2 linked regions of the Saccharomyces cerevisiae S288C genome follow. The protein of the gene in region 1 binds, or shares a complex with, the protein of each later gene. Each region holds a gene or a part of one and is shown on either strand. Other genes may lie near its edges. A codon is read from its position in the direction of its gene.

Evidence for each region. The genes of interacting proteins can lie anywhere in the genome.
Region 2: the proteins of DAD4 (region 1) and ASK1 are in contact, whole or in part, in a cryo-EM structure (PDB 8Q84), measured with the Saccharomyces cerevisiae proteins. Residues at the interface, in NP_710144.3 of Saccharomyces cerevisiae: Asn3 (codon at 3,388), His5 (codon at 3,394), Val8 (codon at 3,403), Gln9 (codon at 3,406), Ile12 (codon at 3,415), Leu13 (codon at 3,418), Arg15 (codon at 3,424), Ile16 (codon at 3,427), Asn19 (codon at 3,436), Val20 (codon at 3,439), Arg22 (codon at 3,445), Leu23 (codon at 3,448), Ser26 (codon at 3,457), Val27 (codon at 3,460), Leu30 (codon at 3,469), Glu33 (codon at 3,478), Leu34 (codon at 3,481), Ile37 (codon at 3,490), Arg40 (codon at 3,499), Asn41 (codon at 3,502), Leu44 (codon at 3,511), Met47 (codon at 3,520), Ile50 (codon at 3,529); in NP_012872.2 of Saccharomyces cerevisiae: Leu10 (codon at 2,521), Glu11 (codon at 2,518), Asp14 (codon at 2,509), Gln15 (codon at 2,506), Ile17 (codon at 2,500), Thr18 (codon at 2,497), Leu21 (codon at 2,488), Gln22 (codon at 2,485), Ile24 (codon at 2,479), Asp25 (codon at 2,476), Leu28 (codon at 2,467), Ser29 (codon at 2,464), Cys31 (codon at 2,458), Phe32 (codon at 2,455), Ile35 (codon at 2,446), Thr36 (codon at 2,443), Ile39 (codon at 2,434), Ile40 (codon at 2,431), Val43 (codon at 2,422), Tyr46 (codon at 2,413), Ser47 (codon at 2,410), Cys50 (codon at 2,401), Glu51 (codon at 2,398), Ile53 (codon at 2,392), Met54 (codon at 2,389), Leu60 (codon at 2,371), Gly61 (codon at 2,368), Phe64 (codon at 2,359).

What each region holds. Positions count from the first base shown.
Region 1 is NC_001136.10:1,105,869-1,111,879, reverse strand, and holds DAD4 (Dad4p), read left to right. Parts: upstream 1-3,381; coding exon 3,382-3,600; downstream 3,601-6,011. Other genes in the region: mitochondrial 54S ribosomal protein mL38 MRPL35, read right to left, coding at 188-1,291; asparaginase ASP1, read right to left, coding at 2,033-3,178; auxilin-like protein SWA2, read left to right, coding at 3,779-5,785. UniProt on the Saccharomyces cerevisiae protein: Component of the DASH complex that connects microtubules with kinetochores and couples microtubule depolymerisation to chromosome movement; it is involved in retrieving kinetochores to the spindle poles before their re-orientation on the spindle in early mitosis and allows microtubule depolymerization to pull chromosomes apart and resist detachment during anaphase.
Region 2 is NC_001143.9:337,999-342,364, forward strand, and holds ASK1 (Ask1p), read right to left. Parts: upstream 2,549-4,366; coding exon 1,670-2,548; downstream 1-1,669. Other genes in the region: DNA damage-responsive RNA polymerase-degradation factor DEF1, read right to left, coding at 1-755; MDM35 (Mdm35p), read right to left, coding at 1,184-1,444; SFK1 (Sfk1p), read left to right, coding at 3,314-4,366. UniProt on the Saccharomyces cerevisiae protein: Component of the DASH complex that connects microtubules with kinetochores and couples microtubule depolymerisation to chromosome movement; it is involved in retrieving kinetochores to the spindle poles before their re-orientation on the spindle in early mitosis and allows microtubule depolymerization to pull chromosomes apart and resist detachment during anaphase.

The DNA of each region.
Region 1 (6,011 bases):
ACAATAAGGAAAAAAATGAAATGTATATATTCTAGAACATACTAATATCATACGTATCGTATTGTAAACAAAATTCACATTCCAAAAATTTTTCAGATTCTTACTTTATATTATTTGCATCAAGCTTTATTAACAATGACACGTTATTTTATATGTACAGGATACTATAATGTCATACTATTTAGGATCACCTTCTAACTCTGCTAAAAACCCTTCCAGGTGGTAGGCCATATTTTTCTCTGACGGCGGCGACTTTGGCATCCCATTCGCTTCTCCAGATATGTGCCCCAATAGCGGTTAGATTGTATTTCTTCGTAAATTGCCTGATATCAAAATCATCTCTACTTAGTTCCTTTCGGTCAATCTCTAACATGTTAGGACCTTGCTTATCCTCGATTAAGGGTTGTCTGAATACCCAAACAACGAATCTCTGTTTTCCAGCATTCTTTTCAGGTACCGGAGGTAAGTAGTCAGCGATAATATTAGAACTGTGGAACTTTCTTGGATCTATTAAATTGTCATTATAAGTCAAATTAATATTCACCAATCCGTAACACAAAGCCGTTTTAAATGAGTCATTACTCAAATCTGGAACATCAGGATTGACTATCAGTACCGTATACAATTGTTTTTCAACGTTCACAAGTTCATATTCTTGAATTTTGAAAATGGGACGCATGGATGTGACATTGGACGATAGAAATTCACCAGGTTCGATCCACTTATTTACACCAGTAGAGAAGGGAAATTTGATATTCACTTCTGCCCGTGGAACCAGAGTTGGAAGAGTATCAGGAATGGCAGCCAACGTTTCTAACCTTTGCATCAATAACATCTGGCCGTACGATTCCCAATGTTGTTTCCCCAAATGTCTGTACACTGGCACATCATAATCTATTATATCCTTAACATTGTTCAACTTGTTATTAAACTGAAAATTGTATTGTACCTCAGGATTATTGATCTCTGCTTTTATGAGAAGTGCATCCTTCTTCAAGGGATTTTTAGTCTTATTGGCCAACTCATAAAACTTACTGGATCTTTGCTCAAGAAAATCATAACTCATCCTGAAAATCTCATCAATGTGTTCTGGAGGTGAATATTTGATACGGTTACTTCTTCTGCTGATAGATGGTGGGTCTAGAGAAGCTTTCTTCTGGAAAAGGTAATTTTTCACTTTTGAAGATTGGATAGAAAGTGAACTAGGCCTTGTGGTAAAGTCCGACCAAATATGCGAAGTAGCATTAGGTTTTTGGAGGATTTTAGTGGTATGAATAGATCTTCGTAACATAGTTCGGCAGTGACCTTGATTTCTGTAAAGATCTCTGAATAAGCTTTTTGCTGTAGTCTGATATTGTATTGGATACTGTTGTCTTATCCCAGACCTTCCGGCTTCCGGTTTAGCCCGGAAAATTTGAAAAGACTGCGACAGTAAATCCCAAACACATAAGAAAATAAAAAAAGGAATACATAAACAAAAATGGATATATAAAGGCTAATTTTTTTTTGTTTATCAAATATTCCTTATTTTTTAACTTTCTTAAAAATATTTAAACACCAGATTTCGAAAAAAGTAATATTTATTCTTTAAAAATGCGGTGACCAGCGGGCGATGATAATCAAATATTTAAAAATGATATAATGATAAAACTTGAATTATTTTTATAGGAAAAGTGGAACCAAAAGATTTTCTAATGCACTGATATCATGAGCAGTTAATGAAAAATTATTAATATTATTTTTTTTATATTTTTATTCAAAAATAACATTCAAAATTTAATTTTAATAAACTCATTTAAAAAAAACCTCTAAAAACATGAAGATAGAACTATAATAACGGCTTCAGTATTCAAGACAAAGCCATGTGCAGGTGAAACGATAGAAAAGTGACATAGCCGAGACAATCTAAATGAAGAATTCCTGTACTCATCTCAGACTAGCATTAACAGGGACTTGCATAATTATATCTCTATCTCTGTGTCTATGTATATATATATATATATCGACACAAATGCAAAAAATTACAAAATTTTCACCCACCATAGACGCCAGTGAAAACATGTTTAATTTCTTCCAACGTGTAGTTACCTGCCAAACATAATTGTAACAAGATTCTGCTCTTTTCAGGGCTTAGATAACCAGATGCGATGAGATTATCCTCCTTTGAACCTTTCTTTGGTACGTTGGCAATAGGCACCATACCATCCATCGATCTCTTGGAATATACGATCGGCAAACTCAATTTCATGCAGGTTTCATTGACCTCCTCCGGCAATGAACCAGCACCCATGGTAGCAAGAACAATACCATCATACTTATCTGCCACTAAGTTGACTATAGCTGGCGGAAAGGCTTGGTGAGCATATAAAATGCAAACCTCTGGTAATTTAAAATGCTTACCGTCCACTCTCAGTTTGAATTTGTGGCAACCTTGCGGTTTCACAGGAGGATAATAGTAGTGAATTTCATTGTTGACAAAATTTCCTAAATAGCCTTGTCTAACATTAAAAGAATCCAAACTATTTGCATTCGTCTTAGTAATGTAGTAACCAGAGGAAATTTGGTCATTCAAGGAAACAAGAACACCTCTTCCTCTAGATTTTGGATTTGAAGCAATGCAAATTGCTTGGTAAAGGTTCATAGGGCCATCAGCAGAAACGCTGGTTGAAGGACGCATCGAACCAACAAAAACAATAGGAACGTCGCCAGCATCAATAGTACTTTCAATAAAGAATGCAGTTTCAGATAGCGTATCAGTCCCATGGGTAATAACTATACCGTCAAAAGCCTGCAACGATTCTGAGACGCCCTTATAAATTTTATAAAGAATATCCTCGTTTATGTCTTTAGAATCCACGTTGCATAGTTGCTCATATTCAATGTCACAGACCTTGGATATATCTGGAATGGCATCCAATAGATCTTGGATGGTCAGGTCAACATGATAGCCGGCAGTTTGAGAGGAGTCTATAGCTTTCGATGCAATAGTACCACCGGTACCCAAGATTTTGATTCTTGGTAAGCTACGTTGTTGGCAAGCGATGCCGCTGCCATTCACAGCGGCATTTTGAGACTTTAGAATCTCTGGAATAGTCTCTGGACAGTTGCTTTGCACAACAAACTGAGAATTTTCAACATCTGGGCAGATGGTAGTGATTTCAACTGAATCGCTTTTCATGATACGCTTCCAAAAGTGCGATGAGAGTGCTGTTATCCTCCACTGTCTTCAAACACATTTCTTCAACAAAGTCATCGTCATCATCTTTTTTTTTTTTTTTTCATCGAGTATTTTTTCACACGAACGGCACAAGTAGCCTTCAACTGTAATAAACAAAAGCAGATAGGGAGGAAAAGAAGTGAGTTTAGGAAAGAAAGCATAACATGGAGAACCCTCATGAACAAGTGCAGGCTAACATACTTTCGCGAATAATTGGTAATGTCAAAAGGCTCAATGAGAGCGTGGCAATTCTTAACCAGGAGCTTGTGACCATTAATAATCGGAACAAAAATCTAGAAATCATGGGCGCAATTTGTGATAACTACCATAGTAGCGTCCAATTCAACCTGGAAGCGACCAATAACAAGAAGCCACCTCTTTAATTCACCAATTTTCTATATACGCATACTCATATACACATATATATATGCTATACCGTTTCTAATATATTCATTTAAGATCACTGTTTCCTGCGAAAAGGAGAAAAAAATAACAGCACATCGCTTAACCTATTCCTGTGCTTCTGGAAAGGACGCAGCCTGCAAGAAACAGTCAACATCAATGTCAGATCCATTTGCACATTTACTGACTTCTTTGAAGAATAAGGACTCTGCATCTGCATCCAAGGAAACAACTCCTCAGAGCAGCAATTCGCCTTCCATTACTGGTTCCGCTGTTGCAGATGTTGCAAGGACGGATAAAAGCCCCAATGATAGTCTGCATTCAATTTCAGCTCCTCCGCTGATACCGTCACCGAAGGTAGATTTTTCTGCACCTCCTTTGGTCCCAACTAATAGCACCACTAAATCTAATACTGCCAACAACACACCTCCCTCGGCTCTTGCCAATACCGATGACGACTTCAATCAACTATTTGGTATGGGCACAGTAACTACAACGGATACGATCCAAAAACCGGATGAGGATTACTATGGAAGCAAGGAAGACCACCTTTACAATGGTGATGACGCCTTAGTTGATGAAGTTAAGGATATGGAAATAGCAAGATTGATGTCTCTAGGTTTATCAATTGAAGAAGCCACTGAGTTTTACGAAAATGACGTAACTTATGAAAGATATTTGGAGATTTTAAAGTCAAAGCAAAAGGAGCGCAACGATCTAGCTATAAGAAAGAAAGAAAGTGGTATAAAAATGGAAAAGTCAGGATTATCCAACATTGTTGGTACAGATAGCAATAATTTATTCAGCATGGCCACTGATTTTTTCAATAAGGGTAAGAAACTGGTAGACCAATGGACCTCCTTCCCACCTGAGGCAAATGATAGACTGAATAATTACTCAAAAACTCATGATAAGGTTGAGGATTATGATTTGCCTCAAGTAAACGACTCACCCAATAGAATTTTGTTTGAAGATAATGAAGTCGTAGAGAACTTACCACCTGCCGATAATCCGGATCAAGATCTTTTAACTGATTTCGAAACAAAGATTGATATAACAAAGAGGACAGCGCCTGATGTCTCCCACTCCTCCTCACCGACTTCTGGTATACTAATTGAAGAAAATTCGCGAAGAAATGAGCCCCTGATAGAGGATAGTCTTCTCGACTTTTCAGAAGGAAATCTCACCAATAGTAAAAGCAATGAAGATAGCACCCTCTTCAATGAAAACAGCAACACTGACTCTACAATACCCATCTCAGATATTGAATTATCGGGGTATAACGAATTTAAGGCGAAAGGTACTAGTTTGTTCAAGAACGGGGATTATATTAACTCATTACAAGAATATGAAAAGTCTTTAAATACATTGCCTTTAAATCATCCATTGAGGATCATTGCATTATCAAACATTATTGCCTCGCAACTGAAAATCGGTGAGTACTCTAAGTCCATAGAAAACTCCAGCATGGCTTTGGAATTATTCCCATCAAGCAAAGCTAAGTGGAAGAATAAAATCTCAAATAGTGACCCTGAAAGATCATTTAACGACATCTGGCCAAAGATTATGATTAGGCGTGCTGAGTCTTTTGAACATTTAGAAAGTTTCAAAAAAGCACTAGAAACATACCAAGAGCTGATTAAGAAGAATTTTTTTGATGATAAAATCATGCAGGGAAAAAGAAGATGCCAAGACTTTATTAATCCTCCCCCTGTTAAAAAATCCATGCCCGTTAAGAAGAAGACAACGACAACCTCGCCTGCAACAAAAAAACAGAACTTAACCGCTTCTTCTTCAAATTCTCCAATTTCTGTTGATAGCACTTCAGAAATAAAAAAACGGGAGCTAGAAAACGCTAAACTGGCGCTATATGATAAAGTATTTGAGAAAATTAGCTCCTGGAAGGATGGCAAAGACGATGACATTCGTCATCTGTTAGCAAATTTATCCAGCTTACTAACATGGTGCAATTGGAAGGATGTCTCTATGCAAGATTTGGTTATGCCTAAGAGGGTCAAAATTACATACATGAAAGCTGTAGCCAAGACACATCCTGATAAGATACCAGAGTCCTTGTCCCTGGAAAATAAGATGATTGCAGAGAATATTTTCAGTACTTTAAGTATTGCTTGGGATAAGTTCAAACTGCAGAATGACATTAACTGATTTCCCTTGTGTGCCTGCTTCGCTCAGTTGTTTTTGATATGTACTTTATACAAATATATATAGGAAAACAAATTCTTCAAAGCGCGTTAGGAAAAAGTATGGAAAGGCTTAGTTTCATTTATTGACTTACAAGTGGCACCCAATTTGATTAATATGAAAAACAATCTGCAAAAAAAAAAAAAAAATTCAAAATATCACAATGTTAAAACACAATAGAAATAGGGCA
Region 2 (4,366 bases), on another chromosome or scaffold:
GGCTTTGGTGTAGCAATTGCAGCCCACGACATTTTCTTTGGTTGTGAAGCAGATGTCCTAGAAGTTGTTTTCTTTGAAGATAAAGAAGGTTGCTCTATTTGTTTGTGTTCTTCTTTGTTATTATGCCCTTCCTGCTGTTGTTGCTCTTCTTGCTCTTTTTCTTGATTTTTCTCCTGCGCTTGTTGCCCTTGTGCTTCTAATTCTTCATTATTGTTATCATTTGAATCTTGAGGAACGTCATGTTTAGTATCTACAGAAACAGCTGCTGCCCACGATGTAGTGTTTGAAACAGGCTTGGATGGTACGTGCTTCCCCTTGTCGAGATTAACATGTTTCCCGGTTGTATGAGCTCGTGGTGTTTGTACCTTCTTCTTATTTCTGGCTTGAGTATAATTGTTACTACTGTTATGCTTTGTAGAAGTAAAAGAATTGCTATTATTAGAACTCTTATATGTAATATCATCTTCTGGATTTGGCAAATGTTGTTGAGGGACATATGAGTGTTGTTGCTCCTTTTTTTCATATTTTTCCTTCTTAGCAGGTTTCTTTACTTCATCCCATCTTGTCACTGCGCCGGAAGTAATTTTATCAATTATAGTTTCCAAATCATCATATTCTTGAACTATATCAATTAAATCATCACTCGTCCAGTCAGGGAACAATTCTGTAAGCGTATCTATTTTGGACTTTAGCGCAGGATTTAGTTTTTTACTACTATGACTATTATGATTAGACTTCCTAAATTGTGTAGACATTATATATATATGATGATGTAGATTATATTGAGAAAACGACCAAACAAAAATAAATATGTAAGTACTTTATGATGGTGATTTTTTTGGGGTAATTGGTAAGAGTTTTTCTTGTAGCTTCAAAAGATCAAATATAAAATACGAATGTTTCTGAAATTACTGTAAAAGACTTAGGAAAAGGAATGAAACGTTTATATGGGAGAGAACGAAAATTTTTCCTTTTCCCGCCACTACTTTTTGCCACCATTTCCCGTTATTTATTTGGGCGAGTGCTCACCTCCGACGGAATCACGGGTGACGGATATCCTAAAAAGGTAAAGAATTGAAACAGATCTATTAATATACGGATCACTATACATTATTATAAGTCGATATTGCAGTATTAGTATTTACATGTTGAATAATGCACATTCTGTGCTAAAATATATACTTCATTTGTCAACTTCTTTTAGTTTGCCGCCATTTTCAAACGGCGCCTCCTCCCTAGCTTCGTCTAGAGCAGGCTTAATACCTTGTTTGACGAGAGCTGCGTTGACACATGTAGTATAAGCGTACCATTGTTTTGAGCACTCGTTCTCAACGGATTTTCCCTTCAGGAATTTTTCGCTATACCATTCATTAAAACAACTATCGTATTTCGTCTTCAGGTCAGTGCATTCAGGCGCAAAACTAGCTGACATTATATTCCCCATATAAAACTGGTATTATTGTTATTGTAATTCAAGTTAAAACACAAACAGATGTTTTCTAATGACCTCTCCCGGCATATATCTGGCGCACTTAGAATAAATTTCTACATGCAAATACTCTGAATATTCTGAATGTGGCTCTCCCTATATCGAAGAAAAAATATAGCGGGCCCATTACCCTGCGTTCTGATATTCATCACTAGTAAAAATTGTATGTACTTATTTATTCTATCTATTCGTAGAAAAATGAATGATGGTCCCAGGCTTTGGTACTTCTTTCGTACTCTCTTCTTCATCGGGCCCTTCGTTGTTATCATCCGCTTGTCCCTTCGGGTGGTGGTGCCCCTGCTTCAGAGGCGAGCTCTCTATATTATTGCTGTTCTCATCGTCGTTATCGCCGTCGTTATTAATATGTTCTTCATGAGCCAGTTGCTTCCGCATTTTATTGGGCACAATCGGAGACGGTACCATGCTGGAACTAGACCCGTACTGCTGCTGCAAAAGTAGCGAAATCTTTCTTTTGCGGCTTTGTCTCTGTATTGTACTTTCATCTTGCTCATCATCAGCTCCACCATGACCCTCGCCTGTAAGGTCTGTTTGCTCCCTTGAAGGCACCGCCTCTGAACCAGTATCTTCGTCGCTAGAGTCCGGAAGTTTCAATATCTGTCCCGTGGATGTTATATTCGCTGTGTGGAAATCATCTATACTGTCGTTATTAAACATAGAATGGACATCCCGGTTGACATGTACAGCTGAATCTGCCTCGTTAGGCCCATTGTCTGTCTGGGACTGCCTACTCGCCTCTTCAGCGGATGTAGGAAATATACCAACATTATTGCTCACAAGGCTTTTGACTGGAGCGTTTCCCACTGGTGCAGCTGCATTTGCCTGCAAATTCACCAGCCCAGTCTCTTGAAACATAGTCCCCAGCCATTCGGTGCTATCCATGATCCGCTCACATATTTCTGAATATGTAGCCACGTGTGGGATGATGTCCTGGGTGATCTTATGAAAGCAGAAACTCAAGTTAGAGTCTATCTTCTGCAGGTTCACTGTAATTTCTTGATCAAGTTTTTCCAATGTTTCCTCTTTGCTTGCAGAATCCATTTTTTGTGTCAACAATCCCTTATGTTGCTCTTTCCATACGTTGATCAACCTGGCTCTATTCCCACCCCAAACTGTAGATATCTATTTTGTTGATGCCTCAGCTCACCAAAACAAACCAAAAAAACGGAAAAAAAAAACGGAAAAGAACGGAAACAAACGGAAAAGAACGGAAAAGAAAACAGGAAAAACTCGCTGTTCTGTTACCCGCGCGGCACTACCGCATTTAATCGGAGTAGCTACTAATCAAGCAAGGGCCTCCGTTCCTCTATGACGCACCGGACATATCGCATTTCCACTATAATAGTGCAAGTAGGACGGGATAAGGCCCAAGATTATCAATGAAGACTAACACAACGGTCTTGCCAGCCATATCCAACTCTAAACATCTTCCACGGCTGTTCAAAAACGAAGATCTCTTACCCCTCTGCGGCTTAAGGGCTCTGTTCAATTGAAGGATCCGCGGCAGTAAAGTAAATGGATGAAAAAAAAAAACTGGAAAAATAGCAACTTTTTTCAGCCTGGAAGATTTGTCATCTAAGCGAAGGAGAATGAAACCGGAATTTTCACTCCTTCTTAGGGGCATTCAGTTTATAAATATAGTTATTCCCTGAAGTTGAGATTTACTGATTTAACATCTGGACAACTAAAAACCTAAATAATAAGACACAATTTTTTGCGGGATTTTTTTTCCTTTAGATACTTTTAACATTCATAGTAAAAAGTTCTGCTACATAGTAAAAACACATAGAAGGTACAAGCAATAGCATGATTCAATTTAAAAGTCCAGGTAACTGGCTGTTCATAGTACCCTGGATTGCCTTCATTCCATGGTATGGTATGCTGATAGCCATGCTTATTTGCTGGGCCAGTCAAGGCCATCCCATATATTGGTTCATGCACTCGGAGCAATTCCCTGTGTACATTTCAGATATAGGTGCCACTAATTTAAGGCCACTGTTTATATCGTGCGCCGGCTGGCAGGGTCTAGGCTATGTAATCACTGTTGCCCTTGAGTTTTTTCAAAGATCCGGCTATCTGCCTTTCCAACTGAAAAAAAAAGACCCTTCTATCTCTGATTCCACATCTTATGCTGAGAAATTGCACAGCGGTAAATACTTAATGCCTCCATATTACACAAAGGATGAACGGAACCTGATTTTCGCAGCTTTTGTTCTCGGCAGCATTGGTGAACTAGCCCTTTTATTCAGTTCCATCTTCTCAACCGCCCTGTACCATCGCGTTCACATTGCTATGGTCTCTGTTTTCGTCGTCTTCATGTTCCTATCCACTTGCTGCTTGATTGCAGAGTATTTCCTCATGGGAAGGCACTATGCCTCAGTCCACCCCCTAGCCAGCCCTCATTTCAATCCTCAATCATCTGAAAAAAGCTTTAACCAAGATTATAACACTGTGGATGAGCTGCCTTGGTATAAATGGAAAGGCCATGTATGGAATAAATTTACCATCAGTGCAACTCTAAAAGTTATATGGTTAACTCTCGCAGTTGTATGGGCCATTTGTTTTGGTGCTATCAATGATAGATCTAAGAGTGCTTGTTTCGAATGGTTGCTAGCATTTTGGTTTGGTATCATATTTATGATTCTTTCCGCCGACTTTTATTTAGGTGGAAGATACAGACAATCCCGCTATTTCAACCACGTGGAATCATTTTCGGGTTATTACAAGTATGACAAGGCGCTAGGCCTCTACCACAGTGAAGACGTTTTGCCTTCGGACGATAACGCCGGCGTGATTGCCACAGAAACAGCATCTTCAAATATTTACAATAATTCCTCTTCCAACGAATCTATTCAAGTA